2 linked regions of the Mytilus edulis genome follow. The protein of the gene in region 1 purifies or fractionates together with the protein of each later gene. This does not show direct contact. Links are inferred from orthologs where the notes say so. Each region holds a gene or a part of one and is shown in the gene's direction. Other genes may lie near its edges. The genes, in order: cleavage and polyadenylation specificity factor subunit 1-like and pre-mRNA 3'-end-processing factor FIP1-like.

Region 1 (17,198 bases):
GGTTGGGATTGATTTTGGGAGTTTTGGTCCCAACAGTTTAGGAATTAGGGGCCAACAAGGATCAAATAAGCATGTTTATTGGTTTTCGCACAATAACTTTAGTATAAGTAAACAGAAATCTCTGAAATTATAACATATCATAGGTTTATGACCACAAAAGGAAGGTTGGGATTGATCTTGGGAGTTTTGGTCCCAACAGTTTAAGAATTAGGGGCCAAAAAAAGGTCCCAAATAAGCATTTTTCTTGGTTTTTGCACAATAACTTTTGTATAAGTAAATAGAAATCTATGAAATTTTAACACAAGGTTTATGACCACAAAAGGAAGGTTGGGACTGATTTTGGGAGTTTTGGTCCCAACAGTTTAGGAATTAGGGGCCAAAAGGGTCCAAAATTAAACTTTGTTTGATTTCATCAAAAAATGAATCATTGGGGTTCTTTGATATGCGGAATCTAACCATGTATTTAGATTCTTAATATTTGGTCATGTTTTCAAATTGGTCTACATTAAGGTCCAAAGGGTCCAAAATTAAACAACACAGTTTGACCTCCAAAACCGAGTCTCAGATTTGTCCTATTGTATGTCATTCTCTCATAAATCTTCAATGAAGTTTGCAACATCAATTCATAAAAGATTATTAAATTCAATTGGGTATACAATTTGTTCTATTGATGTTTTTGGAAATCTGAGACATAGTTTTGGAGGTCAAGCTGTGTTGTACAAGAATCTATAAAATATTTTGGGATGCTATGAAGAACAAAGACGCTAAATTCATTCAAGTGTGGACATCACAATATAGCAACTAATTACATAACAATTGATTATATGTAATAATTATGTCATAATGAAATTGTTACAATTTGAAAGATTAATCTTTCTTCTTTCTTTTAGTTCCTCATTTATAAAATATAAAGAAGGATAAAATGAATTCCATCAGTTTAAAGTTGTCTGATTGGGAGTGAAAAAATCTTTGTATTGTGCTACCTTAAGTTATTATCTGGAAACCATCCGTCTTCGGACGACGCTGATACCAATATACAACCAGAAATCTTTTTGCTGTCATATAATAAAAACAAAAGTACAATACTTCAAAGATCTTAATACATGTCAATGCATGTAATAAGGATAAATTTGGTTTTTATAGTAATGTTTGTTAAGAAAATAACAACAAACATTTTTCAATTACAATATTTGATATCAAAAGTGGGTTAAATCTATGACTGGAAATTTCCTCCTTCTATTAAATCAGACCTTGATAGGCTTGAACCCCACATTTAAGTAAATTTTTGTTTTAACTTTTTATTATAACTTACCTTAAGAAGTTTATACATGTTCCAGACCATATGAGTATTTGGACCGTACCTGTACGGTCCGGACCGTATACGTATACTCGTACGGTCCGACCATACGCGTACGGTCGGACCGTATGAGTATACGCGTATGGTCCAGTATGAGCTGACAATACATGTTATTAGGTCATATGGGTTAAATCTAAACAAATTAACATTAATCACAATCTTTATTTTTAGTTTTACTTTTTAAAATGATTAATATTAATACAATTACACGGATAAAATAAACAAATGAACAATTGAAATTTTAAAATACTTGTTTAATTGTATATATCTTGATCCTAATTACTCTCAACCAATGTTACACTTGCTACCAAGAGTAACGGACTAATATTTTTTACATTTACATTTTTGTAGTTCGTGAATGTTCCTTATCATTTGCATTTTTTGGTAAAGTTGCTAAATATTCTAAAACAATTGATCTCCAAAACTAATTACTTCCGATATTTTCAATTTTAGTGATCATAATTCAATTATTTTAATGAGTGATCGACATGCTAAATACATGAGATTAACAGATTTAATTAGCTTGAATTTTAAAATCATTTAAATATAAAGGTTTTTTTTCAATTACAATTACAGTAAACCTTTTTTTATATCAATTTGAGAGTTAAATAAAATTGATCTGTTATATGTTTCTAATCAACTTTGCCAACTTCTTAATATAAGCCAGACCGTACGCGTACGGTCCGACCGTATGAGTATTTTGAAAAAGTACGCATACGGTCCAGACCGTACGCGTACGGTCCAAATACTCATACGGTCTGGAACATACATAAACATGATAAATATTGATAACTTGTTTTATGTCATTTATCATTGTTATGTCTTCTTGGTATAGAAAGAGAGAGGAAAGATACAGAAGGATTAGAAAGATCATGGAAGTTATCCATTTTCCACATAATATCCATAATTCACAAACACATGACAAGGGCAGAAACTTATAATAATTCTGATCTACACAAAACTTTAATGGTAATATCATGAATATGTCGAAAGTGTTATTCCAATGTAAAAATTCATCTGTAAATCACTCAGTAAGGTTGTATGAAACCAAATAATAAATCTAGTTCTGTCAAGTATTTACAAATTATAGATTTTAGTGGGACCTTCTGATGAAACCAACAATTACTGTCACAACTGAGAATCTAAAGGCTCTAAAGAGCCTGTGTCGCTCACCTTGGTCTATGTGAATATTAAACAAAGGAAGCAGATGGATTCATGACAAAATTGTGTTTTGGTGATGGTGATGTGTCTGTACATCTTACTTTACTGAACATTCTTGCTGCTTACAATTATCTCTATCTATAATGAACTTGGCCCAGTAGTTTCAGTGGAAAATGTTAGTAAAAATGTACAAATTTTATGAAAATTGTTAAAAAATTTACTATAAAGGACAATAACGCCTTATGGGGGTCAATTGACCATTTCAGTCATGTAGACTTATTTGTAAATCTGACTTTACTGAACATTATTGCTGTTTACAGTTTATCTCTATCTATAATAGTATTCAAGATAATAACAAAAAACAGAAAATTTCCTTAAAATTACCAATTCAGGGGGCAGCAACCCAACAACGGGTTGTCCGATTCATCTGAAAATTTAAGGGGAGATAGAAATTGACCTGATGAATAATTTTACTCCGTCAGATTTGCTCTATATGCTTGGGTATTTGAGTTATAGGTCAAAAACTGCATTTTACCCCAATTATCTATTTTTAACCATGTCAGCCATCTTGGTTGGTTGACCGGGTCACCGGACACATTTTATAAACTAGATACCCAAATGATGATTCTGGCCAAGTTTGGTTTAATTTAGCCCAGTAGTTTCAGAGGAGAAGATTTTTGTAAAAGTTAACGATGACAGACAACGACGCCGGACGCAAAGTGATGGGAAAGGCTCACTTGGCCCTTCGGGTCAGGTGAGCTAATGATTCAGATGATGAAATGGACAATGAAGATGACTTTCAATTAGAACAACCATTAGACCAGAACTGGTCTGTCATTGTTATAAATTTGCCTGTGGTTGTGATGAGAATATGAATTAATTTATTTGATAAAATATATGTTATAATTTTATTTTAGGATAAAACTGACAGATGGTGAAGGACTGGTCAGCAAAATTTTGAAGGACAAACACAAAATCTTTTTTTGTCAGTCCCATGGCTGACAGGTCAAATCAAATTTTCACAAACTCTGAATTTGACATTTTAATGCAATAAATTTAACATTTACTAATTTAAGGCAACTGTTTTCCTGTTCTAATGAAGTAATTAACTTATCTTACTTAATTTAGAATGATTTGTTGAATGATGCATGCTCTCTAGTAACAGAAGTGATAAACATGATAAGACCCATTGGTGGCCTCCAGCTGTTTTCTGCTCTATAGTCGGGATGCTGTCTCTTTGACACATTCCTCATTTCTATTCTCAATTTCATGATAAAAAGATGTCTATTTAAGAAAATTATAACATGCAATAAACTGTAAATATGGTATTTATCTTTGAATTTCTTTTATTTTAAATGAAAATTTTATTTCATGGACTTGGTAAATCAAAAAGCAGATTGCTCTGAGGGATACGATTGCCACTGTTTTCATTGACACATGTATACATGTAGCTGGAAAATATTATTTTGAAAACTAATAGGGCTCTTCACGGTAAGTTCAGCCATATTGGGCAGATTTTTTAGAAAGAGGTGGAAATAGTATGAAAGTATGGGAAATCCTACATGTGTTTCCAAACAACTGCTCTGTTTTAATGACGTTTTCCTGTATTTTTCACACTTTTTTTACCTCCATTATGAAAATCTGCCCCCTATCCAATATGGCCAAACTAACCGTGAAGAGCCCTATTTAACTGCACATGTAAAATGTAATTTACGTAATCATGGTAATCTGAATAGTTACAAAATATCCAATCCCGGATACAAGTGTATGAACAATGTACTTATTGTATTTTATTTTTGTACTATCAATTCCAAGTTTATTTACCACAGCAGTCACTGAGACTCAGAGTGACAGAAGGTGTTTCACTTCGTAAATCTTGTCACCTATTTTCCTGTACGTTAATTCTAGGAGGAACCCCATTCCTAACTCTTTAAATATTTAATTTCCTTTGGGTCAGTGGTCATTACTCCTTTGCGATCGTTTTTAATATAATACGAAGTTTATCAACAGAACGAGTTAATTTTTCTCGACGTGTTGTATCGTATTTTGATTGTTGATTCAGAATTGATGAATGTTACTTTGGAAGGGAGACAACTCGAAACTATAATATGGAAGACTCCATTTCGCCTGAAGGGGGGTTGTAGTTACACCTTTACGATGTGGACTACATTTATTTTAATTTAAATGATGCATATAATTTAAAATTATGCAACAACAATAACCCTCAATAGCAGACATACATAGAAAGGATCACATGAGTTTTAAATTAATCAATTGAATGGGGGATCCAGAGCAACCATTCAATCTTATACCCCTTGAAATGAAGAAAACTATACGCATGCACATAATTACCTAAACAAACCCTGGAGCAAGAACATATATTTTAATGTTAATTAAACGACCAAGATGGTTCTCTATTTCTTTAATATGGAAGTACAATATCAAATATCAGTTTCATAACGGTGACATAATAAGATGTACTCCACTTCAGTTCTTATATATGACAGAAATAGATTGATCGGAATTCAGAGAACTCTCACATTTTTATCAAAACTGGAGAATTCCCTCTGATGTGTTTCTAAATTCATAAAAACACAAAATATAAATACTGCTGAATTCTGATTTTCCGTGTAGTTAAAAACACACATATAAGTCAAGGGAAATATCAAACATGAAGATTATGAAAAGAACATTAGGCAGATTCCAAATAAGAAAGTTGAAAAGTTCCCAAAATTATGTTTAACAAAATCAACACCAATGAAGTTCTGTTTTGGAATTCATGTTATACTTATATAAGTAAACACTTTTTGACAAAAAATAGATCTATGCACATTAATATATTTTTTAAATAAAGACCACCTTAAAAAAATGTTGCTATCATAACAAAATTAACAGACATTTTGACAAAAAATTCTTATGTTAGCAACACAAAAATTTTAAAAATCTTGATATTTTCAGTATTTTCTAGGTGTGGATGTATATCTTGATTTAATATGGAAGGCAAATTGGAATAAAACATTTCTGAACATCTGCACCAATAAAAAAGGAATTGCAATAACTTTTAAAAAGGATTATCTTGGAGTTGCTAACATAAAATTTGACAGACATGAACAATGCTGCTAACATAAGATTTGACAGAAATTAAGTTGTTGCTAACATAAAAATTGACAGACTTTATTGTTGCTAACATAATATTTGACGGACTTTTTTGTTGCTAATATAACATTTGACAGACTTTTTGTTGCTAACATAATATTTGCCGGACTTTTTTGTTGCTAACATAAAATTTGACGGACGTTATTGTTGCTAACATAAAATTTGACGGACATTATTGTTGCTAACATAAAATTTGACAGAATAAATAGTGTTGCTAACATAAGATGTTGACGGACTTGTTGCTAACATAGTATTGTGCTAACATAAATAAATTTAACGGACAATATATACTATATATTTGAGATTTTTAACCAACATTGGACATCTTATCCTAGTTGAAAGTCATATTAAGAACTCCTGCAAAATACCGCTGCATGAAATTTAAAAAGATTTTAACCCAGGACAGATAACTCTAATTTGTAGCACATCCAAATGTTGCTAACATAAAATGACAAGTTTGACAGAAATTATGTTAGCAACAGATTTTATAAAACTATTGATTAAATAAAGTAAATTGAAAGATCCAACATGTGTATGTATAATGTACATTATGAAATACAATTTTAACAGGCTTATATAGGTACCTACAATGATGTTGCAAGATTTTATGAACCTGTTGCTAACATTTATAACATTTATTGATAGACGAACATCTAATAAGTAAGGTACAAAAAACAATGTATTTGAAATTGAAAAAATACATATATATATCACAGATGTTTTTAACAAAAGAAAAGCAAAAGATTTGGAAACAGAGATGTTTGAATAATCAGAATACACTAATAAAAACCATTATACCAGTGTCAACTTAAAGCCTCGTAAACATGGTAAAACATGAACCTTGTGTCAAAAAATGGGAAGTAATTTCCGTCAAACATTTCACATTTTTCAACTTGTTGTGATCATTTCTACTTTTAATGGCAACAATCATATCCAATAATTGGTTTGCTTGCTTTATATAGGATAACTATTCAATAAGACATTCACATATTATCATTCAAATAACAGTTAGCATTATTTTTCTTCATTTGTTCTTTTTGACGGAAATTTTTCTTTTTGACGGAAATTTTTCTTTTTGACGGAAATTTTTCTTTTTGGAATCTGCTTAAGGTGACAAACATTTCACATTTTTCAACTTGTTGTGATCATTTCTACTTTTAATGGCAAAAATCATATCCAATAATTGGTTTGCTTGTTTTATATAGCATAACTATTCAATAAAACATTCACATATTATCATTCAAATAACAGTTAGCATTATTTTTCTTAATTTGTTCTTTTTGACGGAAATTTTTCTTTTTGGAATCTGCTTAAGGTGACATTATTTTAACATGTTTAACTTTAATGACTTAATTTTTCAGCAAAAAGTCATTGAAGTGGATCTGTATGTAAATAGTTCTAATATGAGGAAGCGCTACCTTAAATGCCAGCTTTATACATGTACATATTTATGATATACCTATAAGCTGTATTGCTAACTATTAAATAAATACTAAGACAATGTCCTATATATATTGATTGGTTGTTGGTTGTTTAACGTCCAGTGGCAAACATTTCATGCATGTTCAGAACGAATGTCCCAGGCTACATTAACATATTGTTTAAGTCTAAAATAAATTATAATTTCAGATGGAAAATGTTTAGGGAATGATCATTGAACTTGAAAGGGCAGGAGGGGTTATGGTATTGTTCCTTAAAAAATATCCTGATTCCCAAATTGATGAATAAAAAATCTGTTCAAGCAGAGGACAAAAAAAATATTTTGAATCCAGACCTTCACCAAAAATGATTTTATCTTTCAGCATGTTCAGATATGCAAAATAAATTTAACTTTTATCATGTTTATATATCTAAAAACATTTAAAACTTCCCAAACCGCACAGATAAGTCTGTACACAGTAGTTTTTTAGGTGATAATGGCCATATTTGCCAATTTGTTATGATAAACCTTAATACTAGTGTTAAATTTTGACTAAATAATTTTTAATTGATAGCGCTGAAAGGCTTCGGTGAAAAAAGTCTGACTCGAATAAAAAAACATTTGAATTCCTGATCATCTTCAGTTTGTGAGTCTCATGTATTCAGAGTCAGTTTTATGTCATTTCTTGCATATATTTTTTTTGTTACATGTACATGATGTAGCTTACTTTTCAAGTTTTTATATGACAGCAGAATAAAATTGAGAATGGACATGGGAAATACAATCATATCAAAAATTTGCTTTCGAGTAATGCTTAATCATGTCATAGTTGTTTTCGAGAAGACACATTTGGTTTCCACACAATAACTTGAGTATTAGTGAATGGATCTCTATGAAATTTTACTAGAAGGATCAATACACAAAAGGAAGATTAGAATTGATTTTTTGGTTATGGTACAACATTTTGGGGTTGGTTTTTTTCTGTTCTTACAACGAAACAACCAGTTGATGGGAAAGAGCACAAGTATATATCTGTATATATATTTGAAAGTGGTCTAAGAATAAGATATCATGTTCAAAAAAATACCATACCATGCATACTAATGTTTACTTTCATGCATGATTATGAAATAAAATATAATGAAATTTTTTGTTTAAATCTAATTTAAACGATTGTCGTATAATTTACCTGATTAAAACTATACCGTTCAAGTTCAGTTCATTGGATAATTTTCTTGTGGCTCCAGAAAAAATATTAAAATTAACAGCTGCTTATCGCTAAACCGAACTGTCGTATTTTTTTTTTCAGAAGATGTAATTGAACAAATCAATTTATAAAAGAATATTTGTATATTAAAAAACTAGATGATCTGCGGGATATCTTAAGAATTCAAAATTTGTTTCCTCTAAATTCGAAACAATAGTTATAAAAAATGGCGACCTCCATGAAAATATTTTTTCTTCACAAATTGTGTTTAAAATAGGGACACAGACTTCAATATTGAGTAATAAAATGGAAACATAGTGCCCCACAACTTCATTCAAGTAGGTCATTTATATGACACTTGTTCTTTCGAAGAACATCATGTACAAATAATCAAAAAATATGGTTGTTGTGTACCCGGCAAGCTCAGTTTGAAACTGTATCAAGCCGATTGGATATAACTTGTGTATATCCAACCTTTAGAAGGACAACTACCTCTAAATAAGGTGTCTACGAAGGAGTTTTATGATTGTATTGGGAGATTGCTGTTGTGAACCCAGGATTCTAATAAAAGGGGGGACCTACGAATAATACACGTTATCACTTAGTACTGTAAATTCAGAAATTATTGCATGCATTTATTATTACGATTTTTTGAAAAATTGACAAATACGCTTGATTCATTATTGTAATGACAGGAACATTTGCATACAGATATATGTATCAGATAATATGAGGCAGGCATAACCTGTGAATGGGGACGAAGTCTGTATGTATTATTTTTTTAATTCAATCACGTTGAGTAAAAGAAACCGAAATACCGTACGTAACGTTCCCGATTTTGATTCTGTTGTTAGGGAATTATAGCTGTGACGTTCTTTAAGTTATGACGTCATATTCGATGTAAACAAAAGAAACGCTTTCATCAGGTAACGTTTTTTCATATCAAACAATTATTAAAATTGAATTTGTATGGAGATCCAATCTTATATTTTACTAGACTGATAAATATAAATTTTTTCATAGTCTCATGCAAACAAGACAGATATCTGCGCAAAAGCGAAGAAAACAGGAACAGGAAGTAGATCTGAAAAAAAGTTAACGATTTTGAGTTCATTAGTAGAATGAAAAATTCGGGAAATTTTCCCGATTTTTTTTTTTTTTTTTTTTTATTTATTTTTCTACCGTAATAGGGGACTTCGTCCCCATATAAGAATGCCAGTTCTTATTATTGCTATACTCACTCAGTCGCATTATTTGCATTAATAAAAACCTCACAATAATTTCTGAATTTACAGCATTTGGCCGCCATACACCTTATCGCTATTTGTCCGCCATTGCTGGATATCACACAGATTCCCGTAAAATGTTGACGTCATAAAACAAAATATCTGACACCACAATCGAAAAGTGATTGTTGTTGACCTTAAAAGTTCAAGGGGCCGGGTCAGCCGGGATTAGCGATAAGGTGTATTACTGCACATCTCACAGGTTCCAGTAAAACTTTGACGTCATAATTCAAAATATCTGACGCCATGATGAAAAAGTGACTGTTGTATGACGTCAATAGTTTAAGAGGGACAGATTCTTGGGTCAGCCAGGAATAGCCATATGATATGAGGTGGGTTAGGAATTGTCCTGATCCCGAAAAATCCCAGGCTTAAAAACACGAAATCCTGAGGTCCCGAATTTCAAAAAATAGAATTCCCAGATCCCGAAAGGGTCAATCCCGAAATCTCGAGCTTATAAACACCCGATCCCGGAGTCCCGATAAAGGTCCTATCCCCCCTCTGATATGGTGTATTGCAATTGTAACAGGAGGGGTTTTATATGCATACGAAAACTTTATTTTTTATTCAGTTCACACATCGCAATACAAACATAAGCATGATAATATAAGCTCTTGAGAATATAAATAAGATAACAATAACATTAAAACACACAACCAGATAAGACATATAAGTGGGTAGTGGAGATACCTTTATGAAGGATAACAGTAAAAATTCTTACCAAAAATGAAATGACGAGTCGATAACAGCAGTTTTTGTTGCATGACGATAAAATGTACACTTTCATTTAGATGTCTTATCAAGCTAATTTTATTCCAAAAGTAACAGTAATGTTAATTATTTGAGACTTGTGACAAATCACAATAAGGATATTTTGATGAATCACTTTAAAATTTTAACCTATTTGATGTCAAAGGTAGTCACAAATGATTGTTTGATGACTGACAGTAAACATTGAAGGGCATTTCTATTCTCACATAAGCAGCACAATTATTTCAAATGCATACATGTAGAAACAGCACAGTACTAGGCATCTTGAAATACATGCAAAGCTTTTTCTGTTTATTAAAGAAATCATGATAAGATTTTTGCCATAGATATAGAAAGAGCAAAGCTTGTGTTTGTAGATTACAAGACGATGATTGTGTGATCTAAAAAGTTTAGAGAATTTGTTTTTACCTGTAAATAGATATAATTGTAATCAACGATAATGTTTACATGGTCGTAAACATTATAATTGTTAAGCCCTATTAAGTATAATCCAGTATCAAGAATTTGACAAGAAACTATAATGCTACAAAAACCTTTTGATGATTAAAAAAGCAATAATTTATAAGGTATGAAAGCTACATGTTGAAAATAGATAAGGTGTTTTTTTGTCATAGTGAGGTGTCTATTTGTCTTGATACTGCAATGTCTTTCTCTTGTGAAAAAATAACATGATAACAGCTGTTTTAAATCGTGATGTAATTTCATTTTAAATTGTTGCTTCACCATATGTATAAGTTATTAAGATAGATAATTTTGATCACAGTCCGTGAATATATCATGAAAAATCACTCTGCATTTATCTGAGAGTGCTGCCTTCTAACTTTGTATGATGCATAATTTATACATATGACAGTTGTTATCCAAGTTGTTATTTTCAATATTGAGTAGAACATTGGCCTAGAGAGTATTATACATCTTATATGATAAGATAATTTTTTTTAGTTTGAGTGATTTCATTGCTCAATTACAATCTTTCATATGCATAATGGTTCATATGCATTAACTTTCTCCTGTGTTTTGCAGATCAATAGATCATGTATTCTGTATACAAACAGACTCACCCACCGACAGGCATAGAACATTGTGTCTACTGTAATTTCTTCAACACATCAGAGAGGAACTTAGTTATAGCAGCTGTCAATCAACTTCATGTTTATAGACTTAACCCAGATACTGAGGTTTGTACCAGATATTGTCAGGGGGAGTGTTGTAGAACATTCAATGTTAATACATTAGAATAGAACTTAGTTATAGCAGCTGGTAATCAAATACTGTGGATTTATTATTTTTATTCCTTGGATACCAATTTTTGTGGGTTTTTTTTGGTACCGATGAATGTTTAATAAATAACACATTTTTCTACATGCTTTGTTTGCAGAGGTTGGCAAACCAACCAAGATGGCCTCCATGGCTAAAAATAGAACATAGGGGTAAACTGTAGATTTAGGCTTATAACTCTGAAAACAAAGCATTTAGAGCAAATCTGAAATTGTTAATCAGGTTAAGATCCATCTGCCCTAAAATTTTCAGATGAATCTGACAACCGGTTGTTGGGTTGCTGCCCCTGAATTGGTAATTTTAAGAAAATTTTGCCCTTCTTAGCTCACCTGGCCCAAAGGGTCAAGTGAGCTTTTATCATCACTTGGTGTTCATCGTCGTCTGTCGTCGTTACCTTTTACAAAAAGATTCTCCTCTGAACTTGGCCACAATCATCATTTCGGTTTCTAGTTTTAAAAAATGTGTACGGTGACCCAGTCAATAGGGGTAAAATATAGTTTTTGGCTTATAACTCTAAAACCAAAGCATTTAGAGCAAATCTGACAAGGGGTTAAGTTGTTTATCAAGTCAATAACTATCAAACTTTACCTGCCCTGAAATTTTCAGATGAATTGGACAACTGGTTGTTGGGTTGCTGCCCCCCAATTGGTAATTTTTAAAGAAATTTTGCCGTTTTTGGTTATTATCTTGAATACTATTATAGATAAGGATAAACTGTAAACAGCAATAATGGTCAGCAAAGTAAGATCTGAAAATAAGTCAACATGACCCAAATGGTCAGTTGACCACTTAAAGAGTTATTGCCCATTATAGTCAATTTTTTAACAATTTTCACTAATTTGGTAAATTTTTGTAAATTTTTACAAAATATTTTCCGCTGTATTTAAAGGGCCAAGTTTATTATAGATAGAGAAAATTGTAAATACCAAGAATGTTCAGTAAAGTAAGATCTACAAACACATCACCATCAGCAAAACACAATTTTGTCATGAATCCACCTGTGTCCTTTGTTTAATATGCACATAGACCAAGGTTAACGACACAGTTTAGTTATAGACTTAACCCAGATACTGAAATTTGAAACTATGCACACAAGAAAACCAAAGGCTTGAATTCTGATGAATCAAAAATCAATTCAGGAACCAATGACTATTATTGAATTACAGGCTTCTGACTTGGATCAGGCACATAATTATAAGGGAACTTGTAAATGAAATAGGATGTAAAACATTCAATGTTAACAGCTATCATTTGGCAATTTGTCATGTTGTTTTGTTTTTCATTGCCTCAAACTATTCTCTCCAACTGAACGTTTTGATTCACCAAAAAAGTATAACACTGTAGCAGGAGTTACCAACATTACTGTTCATGCCTTTGAAAAAAGAATGTACAAACACAGCAAAACAACAAACAACATATGGTCCTGATAAACTGACTAGGAACAGGTAAAACCATTTTAATCTTCCACGTTATTATTTATACATTTGAAGTTGATATTTTTCAGGATGATACTGGAAAGAATGTTACAGAACAAAATCAGGGTAGGTAATACCTACTAGGTATATCAATTATGGCATATAAATTGAATCATATAAATAATATAAAATAAAGATATACATGTATTGAGAGAGAAAAACATAACCACATTCTGATTCTTATGTTTGATTGATTGTTTTAAAACAATAAATCTATTAGCAGGTCAGTTTAGGTATGGCCTCTAACAGTTTTTGTTTAGTTTGGAAGCTGTTTCTAAATTGGAATTGCCTGTCTGTTTGTTGTTTAAAAAATTTGTGATGAGAAGTGTTTTCTGTAGAAATGTTTTGTTCCAAAACACAGTATAATGGCTAAAATTTGTTGAAACTCTTCAAACAAAGCATACATGTTTTAGGTACCTTAACTATTTTAAGAGTCAGCTTTATATAGATATAAATAAAAATAAAATTTTTAAACATGTTGAAATTTTCTTTAAAAAAAATATTGAAAGAGATTGAAATGGAATTTAATATGGGAATAAGAAGATATGGTATGAGTGCCAATGAGACAACTCTCCATCCAAGTCACAATGTTTAAAAAGTTAACAAGTATAGGTCAAGGTACTGCCTTCATATCACATCAAACAGCATGCTATGAAGGGCCAAAAAAATGACTAGTGTAAAACAATTTAAACTGGAAAAGCAAAGGTTTATTTAGGCTTTTAATGAAGTAATGTTGTAAAAAAAGTAGGTATAGTCCAATTGTCAATAAAGTCTTGCCTATCAAGTTATACATTTCATCTATTTGTAGAGACAAGAAAAAAGCAGAAACTGGAATGCTTGGCCACTTTCAGTTTGTTTGGTAACATTATGTCTCTACAGTTTGTTAAGTTACCAGGAGCAAACAGGGATGCACTTTTACTAAGTTTTTCTGACGCAAAGGTAAATATTATCAGACTATTACATGGCATTTTTCATATCGCATGTATTATCAGCCCTAGGTTTCAATATTGGCACAGGAGCCGCATGGCTGGAGGACTGATATTGACTGAGGGCTGATAATACATGCAATATGAAAAATTACATGTTATGATCTTTTTATCAACAATGGAGAAAAAAAACAAAAAGAAGTTCAAAGACCCCAATCTAGTACATTCAATATGAAACCTTTCTATCAATTCATATGCCTCAACATATAAGAAAAACAGCAGTATGATATATTTTAATATGGACGATAAAAAAAATAATTCAACAATTTACATAATGAGCACGGTTTGGAAAAGTCAACATTTGTTAAAGTAACTTTCTAAATAATGTTTGAAACTTTTAAAAATGCATTTATTTTATCATTTGTTTATTGCTGTTTTTTCCATTTTACACAAAATACTTTCCACTATCCAAATAATTGTTTTGTACCCTACTTTGTAATATTTTTTATATAAAACTTATTATTGATGTGTATTTTTCTGAAATTTGCCGAGTATCACTGGAATGCCATGCAATAACATTATGGAAAGGCATGTGAAAAAAGTTGAAGCATGTATTAAACTTTTCATATCAGCCTGCTAAGCACCAATTCGAAAAAAATATGGAATTTACGTATATTTAACGCTATTATCATACAGTAAAAATCATATGTTATTTAGTCTAAGTATATGATAAAATGATTTATCATCCCCTGAGATATGGCATTCACTCTTGGCCATTTGCCTCATGGAATATCGTTTGGGGATGATAAATCATTGTATGACCCTCATCAAAATTCAATAAATGTATAATGTGAAATTAGTGAACTGTGATGGACTTTAAATGTCATGATTTTGGAATTAGCAAACCATGCATGTATTCAGTTCAGCTTTTTTTTTGAAAATATAATTGTCTTGTGAAGATGCAATTCAATTAAATATAGTTAAATGTGTTATATATGTGAGTTTAATTTGGTCATAATTTATCTTAAGTTATCAATGTTATATTCCTCTGTGAATTCATTGTTGTAATTAGCCAATCCTTTTCTATTTCAGTTATCAGTAGTTGAGTATGACCCTAGTACCCATGATCTCCAAACAACATCATTACATTACTTTGAGGAACCTGCATTGAAGGTAATTATATAAAGAACAACAGTTATCATGGTCATTTGCTTTGGATTTTAAGTTTGTGGACTTTAGGCCTTATCAATTATTTTGTATTTAAATTAAAATGTTTAATAAAATAGAGAATGAAATGGGGAATGTGGTAAATCCATTATATTGTAGTCCCTGCCAAAGACACTAGAACTAAATAGATTCATTTTACTAACATCCATCTCTTTATGTTGTTTTAGCCAAATGCATGGATTAGAATGAAAGTCACCACAAAATGATACTTTGTATTCACTTTTGTGATTTTTATCAGAGACTTTCTAGATGAGTCAGAAAAATAGGATGTAGTTATCAGTTTATTTTGTGTGTAATTTATTTCTTTACCATTATGCATTGTGTCAGACCTTTGCAACAACTCTTGAGTAATTTACAAAATTAAAGGAAATTATTTACTCAAAACACCCTCTAAAGAGTACCAATAAAATAAAATCAGCTAGCTATAAGAGAGTGTCTGAAAATATTTCCACATGAAACATATGTTATTTCATGGGTTACCATATAAAAATAATGGTTAACTACTCAAGTCATAACTTCTGGAAATGAATTGGTCTGTCTCAAGTTTACAATATGAAATTAACTTATTTCTCATGTATGTTTTTGTTAGGAAAGGAAACTCTTTTTGGTTCACAGTGAAGTAACATTATTTATAAGAATATGTAGAAAAAGATGCCATATATGTAATTATTTTGTTTTCTCCCTTCAGGATGGATTTGCAGTCACTTACAGCATTCCAGAAATCAGAGTAGATCCTGATGGCCGATGTGCAGCAATGTTAATTTACGGAACAAGACTTGTTATTCTGCCATTCCGTCGAGACGCTGTCATAGAGGACTCTGATATCTCCGGAGGAGGGAAATCACCTATCATGTCATCATATATCATTGATCTCAAAAGTTTTGATGAGAAGATCACCAATGTTAAAGATTTTCAGTTTCTACATGGTTATTATGAACCAACTGTATTTATGTTATATGAACCTTTCCAGACATGGGCTGGGTATGTACACTAGCTGTATTTATGTTATATGAACCTTTCCAGACATTGGCTGGGTATGTACACTAGCTGTATTTATGTTATATGAACCTTTCCAGACATGGGCTGGGTATGTACACTAGCTGTATTTATGTTATATGGGCCATTTTAAAAAAAATGAAGCAAAAGTGTGACATAGGGGGTCCAATTTCAAACTCAATATTTTTCATTTCTTTTTGTCTTACCCTATTACCGATACTTTAAATTTTATAATTCCAAAGTTTCAAGCAGAACGAAACAGACACATTGAATAATCTTAAATTTTAATAACATACATCTCAAAACATTTGAACAGAAACCATACTACTTATAAACAAGTTTGGTAATAAAACAGTCAAGAAAACATCGCTCAAACCTTTTCCAAATGAAAGTCAATAGAATAAGAAAAATTTTAAAACCAAAATTTCCATCTTTTCTGCTAAATCATATAATAACAATCAAATTGAATAGCTTAATTTAAAAAAAATAATAATAACTAGTGATTGAAGTTTTTGCAAATAAAAAGAATCTTAATATATTTCAGTTAAAATAGTAAACTTTGAAAGCCCTGAGTTTTTGTGATCATTTGGAAAAATAAAAATGTCATTTCATTGTACCGTTTTTATGTAATTGTATGTAGAAAAAGCCATCATGATAAATAACACATTTAAGAGGTACATGATAGGAATATAACTTGGTTTCAACATTTCTAACACAAAGAAACTTGTGGGACTTGTCCTTGTGAAATTATGAATTGACAGAAAACGCTTTAAAAAAAGCGTCACACTCCTGACATATATAATGCACTCCCACATCTATGATATAAACATATCACAGTTGTAATAATTTTTTTTCTTCTCTTTGGAATAGCCACTTCTGAAAAATAAAGAAGAAGAAAATATTTAAGTCCTATGTATTCTTTGGTAGATGTTTAAAGA
Region 2 (16,009 bases), on another chromosome or scaffold:
AAATATCTATTAAGTAGTTGTGATGGAACAATTCTGAAATTTTCTGAAGATAAAATTTCCCAATCCTCGCTAGTCACATACAAACATGCTGGTGACCTTGAGACAACATGGTCCTGTTACGGCATAGTATGGTCAACTTGTGGTCTCTTTAGTATTGCTGCATTTAAACCAGCAAATATATGTGAAGACAGACAGGTCAGACCTGGAACATTAGAAGTCCAAATTTTACCAGTGGATGTTGACAGCCAAAAAGAAACACTAAAAAATTATTTATTAAATGAGCAAAGTTTGAATGAAATTCCAGAGTGCATGGAGGTATTCAGGGAAAATCTATGGGAAGGCAATAATCCACTTCAAGTGATAAATGATCTTTTTAGTCAAGAAGGAAAGTGGTTTGATTTCTCTTCCAAAGTTCTTCGTGTTCTACGTTATTTCTTATTAGCTGTTCAAATGAGAATCCCTCACTCAGAGAAAGAAAAGAATGAAGAATTAGTCTTATCAGAGCGTAATATAAGTAAAATCAGTGATATATTACTCTGTAAGCATCTAATCATTTGCCTAAACAAAGCTTTTAATTTAAAATCTAAATTACAAAATAATGATTTAATTGTACTTCAGTCTATGATAAACTGGATGGATAGTAAACATGAATTAATAAAATCAACATTATTATTGCACACGATTTCAAAAATCAAAGCAGTTTTAAAAAACTTTAATCATACATTTGAATGTTGTATTTGTGATAACAAATTTTCTTTGGAAGGTAGGGTATATAAATGTGAAGATGGACATATATTTGGAATGTGTTGTCAGACAACTTTGCCGTGCCAGTATAATGTTCGGACATGTTCTACTTGCAGTTCAGTGGCAACAAGTAAGGATGAAATTACTTCTCTACCATGGCTTGATATTAAACCATCACAATGTACATTTTGTGATGGTTTTTTGGTTTGATTTATTTTATACATTAAATTTGTGTCTTCAACTTGCATTGTTGTGATTTAAATTATGATATACATGTAGCTAATGTTTTTATAACATTTAGTTTAGTTTAAACATATTTATTTTTAGTGGATTGGGAAACAAGTTATTTATATTAATCCCTTTCCACTTTGCAGGTGCCAGTGCTGCCTTGTAGCGGCATTTATAACATTTGACTTACAAGTTGGTGGCATATTGATTTCCCTGTATCTCATACATTTGAGGAGGTCCATGGTTTGTTAACAAACTTGTTCAGCCATTATGAATTTATTTTGTAGTAGGTTCTTGACATACTAAAGGTGTTCATATTGTCAGGATTTTGGTTTCATAAACTATTCTTTAGACATAACGGTAATTATATAAAGATTTGTTGAATTTGAGTCATTTTATTTAATTTTGAATACATGCTTGGTTATAGATATATTAAAGAAGATGTGGTATAAGTGCCAATGAGACAACTCTCCATCCAAGTTACAATTTGTAAAAGTATACCAATATAGGTCAAAATACGGTCTTCAACACAGAGCCATGGTCATGTTTGTATTTTATGTTTTAGTCCAAGATTACTCTGACGTCCAACGGCTGTTTTGCCAGACAAGCTAGGACCAGAAGTGACGAAGCAGCGCATCTATTTTGGATGGGCAAATATCCACTTTTTGATATGGAGTGGGCTCTGACTTCCCACTGCCCCAGCTTGTCTGGCAAAACAGCCGTTGGACGTCAGAGTAATCTCAGACTATTTATGTTTATGCAGTGCTTATATTGTCTGCTCAATTCTTTCCCAGCTTAAATGGCTTTTAAGATTGCAGTAAATACTGCGGGTATTGAAAACTATCAGGATTTTTTATTGGTATAACCTATTCAAATATATATAAGCATGATAAGTACCTATGGTTGAAGTAGTCAATAGTGTCCCTCACTCTCTCTCTCTCAAATTTTTCAGCTTTAATTGATTGATTGGTGTTGAAATTTGCTATTACATGCAATATGGTGGTCAGTTTTTATTACGGGAGGAAGCAAGAGTGACTTGAGAGAAACATCACCCTTTCATTAGGAAAAATAACAAAGCTAGCTGGTCTAGTCAATGAAGATTGGAGTCAAGTGCACCTGCCGATACGGCATCCTAAGTCACTACCTCAGTGTTGACAAGCTAGTGACACAGTAGTTTGACTTCTTAGAAAATGTGTCCTCTGAAGCCCCTTTTTTCAGCTAGACAGTAGGATTTAAATTTTGCAAATTATTCAAAAGAAATGATTAGTTGAAAAGTCAGTTTTGATAATATTTCCAGAATTATATGAAAAAGGGGTGAAGATGAATGCAATCAATTTTCAGTGGTTTCATATAGCTGTTCTTCATCTCAAATTGACAGTGCTGCTTTTAACATAGATTACAATCATATACATTGCCTGTATTTCAAGATAGTCCCTGTCACATAACTGAAGTAATGACCTGAATATTTGCTACACATTCTATAAATCATTAATTGTGAATTGAAGAACACGTCATGAAATATTGTCTATTTACAAGGAAGATATGTATCTGGTCTATACACTGTGTCTTGTTATTTTTTAGTGCATTAGAATCTTGAGATCAACATTGTTGCCCAAATTAAGTGGCTGAGAGGACACCATCTTTTATAGCATAATGTGAAAAATGTACAACACTAGCTTTAAGGTCTTCCCTGTCAGATCTGCCTCATAAAAATTAAGGAACAAGTCAACAAAGAAAGCACAGTTGTTTCCCCATAGAAACTACTGGGGTCACTACTGTTTTGAACTATCTGTTGGAAAACCAATCAACCAACCAAAAGTTACAAATACATATATTTAGCTTCAAAATGCTCAAAGTCAGTTCAGAGGACTGCTTCATAGAATCTGATTTTTACAGAAAATGAGTTGTCCCTGGAAAAATTAAGATATTTTTTCCAAATTGTCCTCCCAGTTAGAGGAAAACCTGAGGGTTATTTCTTTCAGTCAATTTATAATTGGTTGAGAGATTCATACTTCTATGACATAAGGGGAGTGACTGGTTGTATTTACCAGGAGATGTTTGGTAGATTATTCACATCTGATTCACACCCCCTCTTGACTTAAGTTTCCAGTAACTCTGAGGCCCCGATTTTGAGGTTTTTTGAAGACCCTGAATATTTTGTTTGTATGGACATAGAGGTTATTTGTGTACTCAGCAGAGTGATGGAAGATCTATTTTTTCTACTTCTAAATAGAGTTTAATGGCGGCTACCCTTGCTTGTCATTGATTGAAATCTTATATAAGATAATCCTTTCTTATGCTAATTGCTTATTGGCTGGGTTGTACAACAAAGTGGACACATTCTAGATGATGAAAATTGATTAGATTTCACCTTGAATAGCCGAAAGTAAGATTTAGGGAAGCTGTTTATGACGTCGGCATCAATGATGTGTTATTTGTGATTAGGTCACTTTATGAAGAACAACAATTATAAAGTCAAATATATTTAGTTTGCATTGTATTAGCATTGTAACATCTCATTTCCATGGAGATTATTTGGCCCAGCCCCTTTGGTTATGGTCTATATTTGTTGAAACTTTTGCTTGCTTTACATGTGATAAGGAATGATTAAGGGAAACCACCAGTGGTAGGCAAATCATATAATCTTGGCCCTGCCCTCTCAGTTATGGTCTATTGACTGAAACTTTCTCTTAGTTTTCATGCTAAAGTCTGTGATTAGATCAGTTTATGGGGGACTATTAGTGGTAGGTCAATGACATTTGGTATGCAGATGTATTAGTGTTGGCATTTTACATTCTATGGCAGTTGTCTTGTCCTTGACCTTCATTTATTTGAATGATTTGCATAATTTACATGTTTTTTTGTAGGAATACCTGTTCAAGGTATGAAAATAGATGATGTGACGTATTTTAATGTACTATAATGAGCATCTATCGGGCTATTTAAAACATGATTTACCTATCTTATCGAATGAAAAGAATTGAGGGGAAATTGGCCATACTTCTTTGTTTAATCCACATTGGCTATAGGTATAGGGGAGTTTTGAGATCTAAAACAAGTTTAAACCTCCCACCTGTAGCCTTTGTTAGTCCTTTGTGTTTTATTAACTTGGTTCATTTTGTATGTTTAGGAGTTTAGTAGCCATAAAGCTAAACTATAACAATAAGAAAAAGTGGTATGATTGCCAATTAGACAACTCACTACCAGAGACCAAATGACATAGAAGTAAAACATATTATTATAAGGAACCAGCTAAAGCCAGCCTACGAGTTAAGATTTTCTCATTGCACTGAAGACCTAAAGCCGGCCTTGGACCATTTATGTCAAGCCTTCAACTTTAGTCGAAAAAGCAAGACATAGTGATCCTGCAGTGCGTCGTCGTCATTGACGTTGGCGGCGTCCACAAATATTCACTCTGTGGTTAAAAGTTTTTGAAATTTTAATAACTTTCTTAAACTATCCTGGATTTGTACAAAACTTGGATAGAAACATGTTTTTGATCATAAGAAAGTATCAAGAAGTAAATTTTGTAAAAGCAAAATTCCATTTTTTCTGTATTTTACTTATAACTGGGCTTAGTTTTCTGCCAGGAAACAACACATTCCCTCTGAGGTTACAACACATTCCCTTTGAGGTTACAACACATTCCCTCTGAGGTTAAAGTTTTTATAATTTAAATAACTTATACTATCCTGGATTTGTACCAAACTTGAACAGAAGTTTTTTTATGATCAAAAGCTAGTATCTAGAAGGAAATTTTGTTAAAATTTTATACCTGTTTATCTGTATTTCACTTATACATGGACTTAATTTTTCTTCAAGTTAATAATACATACAGTCTGCTGTTAAAGTTTTTAAAACATTTATTAGATTCATAAACTATCCTGGTCTTAACAAACTAGGACAGAAGCTTCTTTCAATCAAAAGATAGTATCAAGAGAAATATTTTTAATGATTTTTTTCCTCATTTTTGTTGAGTCTGCAATTAATAGCAAAAGTAGGCTTGACACTGGGTTCCAGGGAACCCTTACAAATTTTCTGCTCTATTGTATGGTTGTTGTCTCTTTGATACATTCCCTGTCTCTATTGTCTTTGAAATAATTTTAATATGGAACAGTTTAAATCAATCAAGTGTTATGTTTGCTTATTCTTTTTGTGTGAAAAATGTGTATTATGAAATGATGATTGAAAACTACAATTCAGAGAAACATGAAATACAGGTCTGTGTAATAATATTTATTTCAAAGCCAACATATTCTTCAAGGCACACCAGTAATTTCATTTTCATACTGACACTATATGTGTCACCACCAGGAATACCCCAGATCAAGTTCTAAAATCACTTTAATTGATTCAATAAAAAACAAAAAAACATCCTGAGTTGCATTCTAGTAATCAAAAAATTTATTCTTTTTTGTCCCCATCATCTTCTGAAGTTCCATCAGCTGTTTTCACTTTATTTTCTCGAGGTACATATACTGAGTTTATGTAGCCTTTATCAATATTGAATTTGGAATCCTTAATGTAACCTACTGAGTCAAGTCCTTCTGTTATCTCTTTGTGAACTGATCCAAGTAGTCCCTTGTTTTGCTGCAAGAAGAAATAAAACTTGTGAAAATAGCTCTACATGACTTTAGTTCTAATTATCAATTCTCAAGAAATAACACTTTTGTCAAAATTATAAAAAAACAACATGTACCAGTAAAATAGTTTCAATTATAATCAGTTTCATTAGAACTGATCACAAAACACAGTCACATTTAAAAAAATACAAAACAAATCTAAATTCAAACCAATGTCTGCAGGCACTATTAAAAAAGTTCAGGGATGTTGAATCTTAATTGCATGTATTTACAAACATTTGACCATGGGTCATAATTTAATCAAAAAAGAAGCAACCAAAACAGAAAGAAAATTCATTCTTAACCTTACTAGGATGCAGTTAAAAAATCAAAATAAGACAGTAAACACAACAGTCATGACAGTTATTTTTTTGAAAGAACAACTTAATGAACTAGGGGAGCATAAAGTGCCCAAATTGTTTGTTTGTTTAAAGGGAAAGATGGACAGAAAATTCATTCCTTATATATTCATGACATTAGACAATATTAAATTTAAGTCAGTTTGTGTAAATAACATGAATAATTATTTTAATACTTCAATGTTTAGTCATTTTTTCAGTCATATTTCCAGCCATTACAGTATAAGGAAAACTCTTTGGCAGAAGGAGATTTCAATTAGAGCAGGTATACTTAATGAATTTTCAATGCTTCATTTTTTGGTACATGTCTATAACCTTTTCAAATAAGTATCACATAACCTGAAGTTCATAATAAGACAAGTGCCTGTTCAACCAAAATTTACTAAAATACACATGATACATGAGGTGGAAATCAATCAAGACTTCTTTGCCATGTATAGAAAAGACTCATAGTGTCAAATACATGATATACAACAAACAAATTAAGATAAGTATTTTTTTTAAAGGGGATGTACATTAAGATGCTCAAGGCAATTTAACACCAGTCCTTTCTATTGATGAAGACTGAAAGCAGATGGCTAGACATCCTTTGCTTAATTATTTTGGTTGTTATCTCAATAAATACACTATCATTACAATATACCTTGCATCTCTTTTTATCCACATTTACAGCATGATAAAGACATTGGACTTTTAGTCTCATTTAACATGTTTTATTCACACAAGCATGTTGTTCAGTAATTCATGTGCTCATGTTAACCACTTCAGTCAATGGTTAAAAAATTAACAAATTTCTTGAAAGGGGAGATAATTTTACATTTAGACAATATATATATATATATAATATATGTAGTAATATCATGATGCAGTATTAAATTTATTTGCATGGATGTCTTGCATTTATCATACCATAAAATAAGGTCAAATTGCTGAAAGAACCTCTAAATCTTGAAATTTTATCACTTTACATTAACCATAATATCATGGTGTAAATTAAATACACCACATGTACATTGGGCTAACATTCTCAAGGTTGTGTCTTAATACATATCCCTATTTGAAATTTTCAATAAGTTTTATATATCAAAACGTTAAAACAATAAAGCCAACTCACCTCATTTTTAGCAGCTGATAGAACAGTATTGACTTTTCTTCCTTTTACAAGTATTTTAACCATTTGATTGATTTTAATCTGGAGATCATGGCCGGCAATTTTTGTTTCAATGTCAAAGCGTTTTGGGCTCTTTTCCTTCGGTGTCTTCTTCTGTTCTTCCTTTTGTTCTTCTTTTGTCACAAGTTTATAAGATGGGAATCCTTCTGTAAATTTTCCCTCTAATTTAGCTAATTTGAACCCTTTACTGTTGGCATATTCCTTAGCCCCTGCTAATGTTTGCTTTCCAATTAACAGATCTTCATTAGAAAACAACTGAATAGTGTCAATCAATTTCACCAACTTTACACGTTTCACATTATTAGATTCATCAGATGATTGTCCCTTTTTGTTATCATGAATTTTTACCTTTTTAGGGAACTTTTTATTTAGATTTGGACCACATTGATGAAAATATTGTTTATCTTCAATTCTACCACATTTCTTCACATGGCAACTTTCAAAGAGATTGCTACTTAAATTGCCAATTGTAACACATGTGTATGTTCTTGATGTTTGTGTTGAGCAATGAATCTTTGAAAATCTGGCTAAGTTTGTCATATGATTGTAATGGGTTATTGGTGATAATGAAAGAAGTCTGAATCTGCAGAAAGTCATCACAGCTATTGGTGATTTAACAAGTTTCATGTTGCTGTTTTTCCCTGTCTACAGACTACAGTGTCATCATGGATATGGCATTCAATCCTGTATAAAAGAAGAACAAAGTATTTCAATATTTTGTATATATATACACTGTTTAAAAAATGAAAATATGGATTTATATATTACATTTATACAATAAAACATAACGAATAGAAAAACAAGATCAGATGACCTAACCAGAAGGTAGGAAAAGATTAAACTTTGGTCTAAAGTCTATCTTTGCAATATTTTGAAATTTTTAATGAAAGAGTTGAATAAAAAAGGCAGATTAAATTATTTTTTTACAACGTATAGAATTTTGTGTAAAACTTCATACAATTTTCATATTTTAAATGTTTATTTTAAAGGAGGAGATTGAAATAGTAGGGTACAATCTATATGGGCAGACTTATCAAGTTGGAAAATTGCAAGCCATTGATCATTATGATAAAAGTGCAAACCCTGACAGTCTGCATTGACATGATTGATGAACATATATATCAACTCAATAAACTCAGTAAAAATACTGTTGTCAGGTCATTAAGGATTGCATATTTTGGAATTAATATTGATTGACTCATAGGGCTGTTGCATCGGAAATAAACACATTTATTCTAAAACCAATTGTTGGCATGATACAGGTTATGTTCTTCTCATATATTTTATTTTGTTGTGATACTAAACCCCTATTTAGAAGGATTGTGCTTGATTTCCATATGATGAAGACATAATCTTTCAATCAGTTTCAATGAGGTCTGGAGCTGGCATGTCACTAACTGCTAGTAGTCTTTTGTTAATTTATGTATCATTAATTGTCATTTTGCTTAGTTTCTTTTGTTACCTATTCTGACATTGGACTCCAGAAGTCTTTTAAGCTGAGTTTTACTGTGCGTATTGCTGTGTGTTTCCTTAATATTTTACATTGGCTAGAGGTATACATGGTATAGGGGGAGGGTTGAGAATTGAGATCTCACAAAGCATGTTTAACCCCAACATATTTTTGCACCTGTCCCTAGACAGGAGCCTTTGGCCTTTGTTAGTCTTGTATGTTTTTTAATTTTAGTTCATTTATATGTTTTGGAGTGTAGCATTGATGTCCATTTTCACTGAACTAGTACACAATTTTATTTAGGGGCCAGCTAAGGCCCATCATCGGGTGTGGTTGAAGACCCATTGGTGGCCCTGAGCTGTTATCTGCTCTTTGGTCGGGATGTTGTCTCATATTTCCCAATCTTAACAATTGAATATGATTGATACAATCACGATCCTTGAAAAAAACTAAAACAAATTTATTAATTGATCAACTCAATAGTGGTCAACCTTTGACATAGAGATCAAACAGTTGATTGAATTGATAAACTCTTAAACCATTCTAAAAATTGAATACGATTGAAATAGTGACCCTTAAATATCAATAGGACCATAAACAATACCCCAATACCGAGCGTATATGGCTTCACAGCTTGCTTTTAATAGGAAAATCATATGAAGGAGATGCATTCATGTACATGAAGTCATGATGTACAGCACAACTTGCAGGAACTAGAAATGCGCAACATATTTTCAAACAGTATTTGCAATAATACAGACTTTAGTCTAAATAATAAAAATAGACCGTTTTTAGACGTCAAAAATTATTAATTGGACTAGTTCGGACTCCAAGAGATTTCAATCAATTTTACAGTTTATATAATTTGCCAGGACTTGCTTGAAAGCCACAGGCACTTGTCTCCAAAAAAAATCCTATATACAATGTAGAGGTATATATAGAAAAACTTCTGAGCCTGTGTTGAAAGCTGATCTTTGTTATCTGAGACTGATATCTAACATTTTGCCTTTTTTATGAAAGAAAAGTTAATTTTGATCATTTTATCCGCAAGCCATCAAAATGTTCGTTATAAACCCACTATCAGGGGATATTCTGAGACAGGGGACATCAAATATTTATCTGAGAGAAATATTCATACCTGTAATTTTATGGACCTTTATTTTATTTTCGGTATTCAGATAAATTACATACATCGAGTTTCGTAGTTTTTACACTATTCTATCATAAGATGATACATGGATTATGCATTGGATATAAATATTATATCTGAAAATAATTTGACCCGTTTTAACAGTTCGATATAAATAATTCGAAACTGAAAGAAGTAAAATTGTAAACACGATGGCGGCTGCCGGTGTAGCTGCACCACAAACCGGCACACAAGACGACGAAGAATGGCTTTATGGGGGTAAAGTATTCGATTATAAATAAAGGCATTACTTGATGAATATGTTAGCTTTGCTTCAGGTTGTTTTTTAATGAACAATTGCTGTTGCTAGAAATAGAAGTCTACGTTTGTCACTCGGATTTTTATAGACAAAACTTGGTACTCCATTTAATATAGCATTCTATTATTTTTAGTATTTACCTTGACAACTTCATTAAATGATCTGTAAAATTCATATCGTAAATTCCCTCATCGATCAGACGTCATGATTATGTGGACCAGTGCCAGTAGTGGTTTCTAAAAACATGGTTGAATCATAGGGGCTTGTTTAGTGGGTCAGACGAGGTTTTACTGTCAACGGCGATCGCTATCCTATATAAAATACCTTGTTTTTGTCCGCCAGTACTGGACATTACACATGCTTTGTATAAAAGTGACACCTAACATCCACGTATTCCAACATCAATCCGAATTCCGATAGCAAACAATCTTATTCGGAAGACTCTGTATTAAAGTGACAGCTATTTTATATAGGATAGCGATCGCCATTGACAGTAAAACCTTGTCTGACCCACTAAACAAGCCCCTGTGGTTGAATGTTTTATTTTCAAATGTACCTTATCACTATTTGTCCGCCAGTACTGGACATTACACATGCTTTGTATAAAAGTGACACCTAACATCCACGTATTCCAACATCAATCCGAATTCCAATAGCAAACAATCTTATTCGGAAGACTGTATTAAAGTGACACCTAACATCCACGTATTCCAACATCAATCCGATTTCCGATAGCAAACAATCTAGTTCCGAAGACTCCGTATACATACTATAAGTATTTTATTGTAATTATATTACAAAATATTGATCACATGATGCTAGTATTACTAGACTTGCAATAGACCACTTTCGAGTTCATCCGTCACCGGAAAAAACTCGTCAATTATACGCGCCTTTATCATCGTCATTTGTGCGTTTAGGGGCGTCGTCACTTCCTTCCAATGTTGAGCGAGTGGTTGGAAAACTATAATTCTATATTGTACGAATTATTTGGCAAATATGAATTCTCAAAATTGACAATCAACACTGCTGTCATTAAGGAAATGTCAGTAAGTACCTACAGAGCAACCATTATTTCTAGTTTATCCTGCACAAAGACGATCACTAAGACGCTTGATGAACGTAAATAGTGCAGGGATACAGGCGAGCCCCTCTATCTGGTAAATGACGTCATAAAGGCGTGTATAATTGACGAGTTTTTGCCGGTGACGGATGAACTCGAAAGTGGTCTATTGGTTTACATCAATCCAAAAAAAAGTGCATTCATAAATTAAAACAATGCATTAGTAAACATTGGGACCTACTAAAACAGGATGCAGTTTGCAACGAAATATTTTCAAGCAAACCAATAATAGCTTATAAAATGCATATAAGTATTGTAGATCTATTGACAACGACAAAATTAAAATAAATTGATATACATGTAGGTAAATCCCTGATGATGACGGGCCTACAATGCTTAAACCCTTTCATAAATGTTATACATTTATCATTCGCATATAATACAAAAAAAAATAAGATGACTTATCTTAGGAGCGAAAAATCAACACCTCCATTCATACATTCGTAATTAAAAAAATTTTGTTTTGTTTTAGATGATAATAAAGAGTCGCAAGAAAAAGCTAGTGGGTAAGCTATATGGCCTATATATCTGTATATGAAATAAACATTATAAAATACTGATGTATCTCTTTAAAGAACATGTTTGTACAGTGAAATATAATAAGATTGAACATTGGTAAGATACCAATAAAACAACTCATAGAAGAATAACCTACAAATTCTTAGATTGATTGAAAGGGAAGTGCTAAATATTTATGATATTGCATGTACATTTTATTAAGTAATTTGTCATATTATACATACTGTTTTCTTGTCAATTGAACTTATTTTGACAAAATTGAATTAAACTTACTGCTATTAAGCAAAATATTATTTCACAATTCTTCTTTCATATTTTATTTTTTTGACAAAAACGTAGCTTACATGTATTAAGCCCCTTCAATTAATATCTAAGGAAATGAAAGTTTCTTATCTTCCTCAGTATATTGAGTCAGTTTTGGTCTGAGACCACAATTGTCGTCCCTTGATTTTCGTTGTTCACAAATATAGTCCCTAGTGCTGACAGTGGGTTACTTGCCATTAATTTTTATACCCCTTCCAAATTTATTTCTCCATGTGTAATGCCTCAAATTGCAAGAAGGGGGGTGAAATTACACTGTAAAAAAATTTGGGTCTCAAATTTTTAAGGAAAGTAGTGATTTGGTCCAGCTGAAAAAGGTTAAAAATTAGCACTTCGGAAGCTGTTGAAAGATTTCAAGACGTTCTAAACATAAAATTGTCCATATTTTGAGCTTGAGAAAGCGCAGGTGGTTTTTTTTTAAATTTTCATTTATGTTCTAAAAGAAATGCACTACGAAATAATTGTGGTCTCGGACCTTTTAGTTGAATAACATGAATAATTTACAGCGCGATGCATATAAAATAATTACACATATATCTGAAATATCTTGAAATCTCTGCAGTTCTCTATTAATATTATTTTTTCATTTCTACCTTTGCAAACATTCTACATTGTACAAAATGTATATATATCATCCTACTGTTCTCTGGCACTCCATTTTTGAAATGCACTAGTCACATGCTAGTAAAGTATTTAAAAAAAAAAAAGTGTTATATTTAATATAACAGGGCTGCTGACCCACCTAAACACAGTAGATCTGACAGAAAGGATGACAGAGAAGCTGGAGAATTGGTAAGGTATCAAATATATTAAGGATGGAAGACTTTTGCTTCCAAAATGATTTGTGCATGTGTACAAAAAAGAAATTCCATGTATATGAAACCATATCAATACACAGTTAAGAATAAACTAGTTGGCAACAGCAAGTGAATTAAAAATTGAAGATGATAATTTGATGCATGTACAAAACTACATAATGCATACTTTCTAATTGAGGTCTTTTTGAAAATCATTATTTAATTTTACATATTCTTGACACAAGGGGCGTATGACTTTTGCGCCGATTTTTAAAATTTTCATTCTTTCATTTGCGCCGATTTCATTTTTTCATTTGCGCCGATTTTTTATTTGCTCCTAATTGGATTTACAGGTAAGTTAATACTTGTACATGTACTATACCGTGCAGGTATATTGGTAAAATCTGTTTATAAACATAGGTTTTAGTTAATTTTGATTCATATTGTTCTGAACTTTGCTGTAATTGATGGACATATTGCACACTGCAACAAGCCGAGGAGTCAATTTTTTTAACCATCGGCGGCCACACACATAAGTACGTTAGCAAGACAAAGAAAAGATGGATTACGTTATTGACAATTACAACAAATATAGAAGAGACGAAATCACATGAAAGGAACATATTAGATATGTTGCCTATAAATACTCAGCAAGAACAGATTTATGATTTTAATGTCTTCCGTTTTATGGATTTGAATGCTGTAAATAGATTTTAAAAAGTCATTTTAGTATAAACCAGAGTGTTTTTATCTAAGGGTTTTACTTCTTGATTTTAAAGTATGTAAATATCGTGTACAACTGGATGACAGAAGAGGTCTGTAATGATAAATATAACAAAAAACATGACTTGGATGGAGAGTTGTCTCATTTGCACTCATACCACATCTTCTTATATCTATTTACCTGTAATTAACCTGTAATTATCTGTAAAAAAATCGGCGCAAATGAAAACAAAAATCGGCTCAAATGAAAGAAAAAATCGGCGCAAATGAAATGCAGATTGGCGCAAATGCAAAACGCCGGACACAAGGTACAAGGTATAAATTTTAGTGGGCTTTATTTAAGGTAGATCATAGGTATAAGTTTCCTGAGATAGATTTTTTTTAAACTTTGCTAAAATGAAGATTTTTTTATGCTCTTTCCAAAAATATAATACAAAGGATGGGTCACCATGCTATTTTTCAAGCTGTGAGTTGTTGAAAATTGGCTAAATTTGCTTAAAATGATCATGCAAAAACACATTTTTGTGCATAAAAAGAAATCTATGAGATAGAATTTTGAAATAAATTGTGAGAAGGTAGGTTTTATAATATGTTTTCAGAAGATAAAAAGAAAAAATGGTGTCACCAAACTTGTTTTCTTGCTACAAGTAAAAATTAAAAATTTCCCTATCAGACCAGTTTATTTTTTTTACTAAAAGAGTTATCTCCCCTAAATGACTCAGTTAAAGAAAAAAAATGGTTCTAAAACACAAATGTTTGGTATTTGTTCAAATATTTTGGATAATGCAATAAATCAGCAAGTTTTCTTCATATAAATAAACAGTCTTACCAATAAAATTGCACATCTGTCTACAAAGGAGTAGGTCCGGTAAGGACCGATTTTGGCCTCAAATTTCAGGTTCATCTGACGAAAGATTTTGACCACTTTTTAAACACTTAAGTGTCTATTTTATTTGAATTAATTAGTTTATGTGAAAGATTTTAACAGATTTAGTCATTAAAAACGATCCGATTCAAGCTCAAATATGAAAAATCTACCTAATATGCCGAAAAATGTCACTTTTCAGATGGTTTTTGGTAAAAATGAAAGTGGCCGCATCCGTGTTCATCCTCAACCTTTATATATGTTATGTATTATCATAAAATACAACTTACATTTCAATATTAAGGATGAACACGAATGCGGCTACTTTCGTTTTACACGAAAACCGTCTAAAATTTAACAAAAATGCTAGAATTATGAGGATTTCAGTAATTTAGCATGACTTAATGGTGCTAGTACCGGATATATGTGCATTGTAATGTCAAAAACAGCCCATATTTATGTAGCAGAAGCATTCTACTGTCCAATAAATAACTAAAGGTTTACATTTTAACAATTTTGTAAAACTGCTATATTTTGGGGCCAAAAAGGGGTCTTACTGAACCTACTTCTTTATAGATTTGGGCATATAACTAGACTGATTGTGTACTGCGATAGTACAATCCAAGATGGCGGTACACCATGAATCTACCTTAAATGGTTGAATTTTATAAACTTCATGCTTATAATAAAAAAGGTTCTGCAACATTGTTATTTTAAAAAAATGTTTTCAAATCTTGGACAAGTTGAGCAAGTTCAGTTGTTTGACAGTGAACTTTATTTTTTTTCAAACTTTAAAAAATATCTTAAAATTTAATTTCACAGAGTGGAGAGGAGGAATCACAATCACAAGAAAAAGAAAATGCTGCAGAGCGTGAATCTGAAGATAGCGATGAGGATTCTGATGATGATGTTCAGGTCACGATTGGTGATATACAAACTTTTCCCATGAATGAGTAAGTCGTCTTTCATGGGCTACATATATATTTATTATTTGAACTTTGACTTTTTAACTCATTCCAATATTAACTGTTTAAAAATAACAGATATATAATAATGGTAATTTTCCCTCAGTATTTTCCGTATCAAGTTTATAGTTAGTCAGATAAAACAATCGTACGATTGACAAGATATCGACACGCAATTACGACTACATCGGTTACTGTAGTTTTGGTTCTTTGTGTTTTATAGACATATCGTGATTATAATCGTAGAAGATGACAAAATGGCGGAGCGTAGAAAATTGATACTCAAAATTTAAAATCGATGTTGATCTCTTATCTAGCGGAATAAAACTTTAATATCTATAAATTTTAGCCTTTTTATACAGAATGGACATAATATCAATTTTTGATTTTTTTGCGAAGTTTCCCTTTAAAATGTTAAACACAATATGTTAAAATGAATGCCTCTCATCTGTTATTACCACAATATCCACATTTTAGAAACCATTTTCATACACATATCGAATCAGATTTTATGACCGAAATAAAGTGTTCAGTAAAAACATCTGTAGGTACCCCCAAAAAGGGAATTAGCAACACCGATGTGGTTCGAGCAAGAAACCATGTTTTTTGGCCAGGCGATATCCCTTTTCAGACTTTTGGTGAACAATTATCATTAAGTTTTTTGGTATCCCGTT

What was found.
Region 2: the proteins of cleavage and polyadenylation specificity factor subunit 1-like (region 1) and pre-mRNA 3'-end-processing factor FIP1-like fractionate together in Homo sapiens (co-fractionation; 8 studies listed by BioGRID and IntAct, with this or other methods). This does not show direct contact. The link is inferred for Mytilus edulis from reciprocal best matches to the Homo sapiens genes CPSF1 and FIP1L1.

Annotation. Positions count from the first base shown.
Region 1 is NC_092348.1:924,176-941,373, reverse strand, and holds the start of cleavage and polyadenylation specificity factor subunit 1-like, read left to right. Parts: upstream 1-8,508; 5' UTR 8,509-8,639; intron 8,640-11,381; 5' UTR 11,382-11,392; coding exon 11,393-11,536; intron 11,537-12,692; exon of another isoform or gene 12,693-12,710; intron 12,711-13,139; exon of another isoform or gene 13,140-13,140; coding exon 13,141-13,177; intron 13,178-13,919; coding exon 13,920-14,050; intron 14,051-15,129; coding exon 15,130-15,210; intron 15,211-15,952; coding exon 15,953-16,245; intron 16,246-17,198. UniProt on the Homo sapiens protein: Component of the cleavage and polyadenylation specificity factor (CPSF) complex that plays a key role in pre-mRNA 3'-end formation, recognizing the AAUAAA signal sequence and interacting with poly(A) polymerase and other factors to bring about cleavage and poly(A) addition.
Region 2 is NC_092351.1:28,663,890-28,679,898, reverse strand, and holds the start of pre-mRNA 3'-end-processing factor FIP1-like, read left to right. Parts: upstream 1-9,857; 5' UTR 9,858-9,915; coding exon 9,916-9,982; intron 9,983-11,617; coding exon 11,618-11,651; intron 11,652-12,713; coding exon 12,714-12,777; intron 12,778-15,192; coding exon 15,193-15,323; intron 15,324-16,009. Other genes in the region: general transcription factor 3C polypeptide 4-like, read left to right, coding at 1-954; uncharacterized protein, read right to left, coding at 5,377-5,562, 7,068-7,751.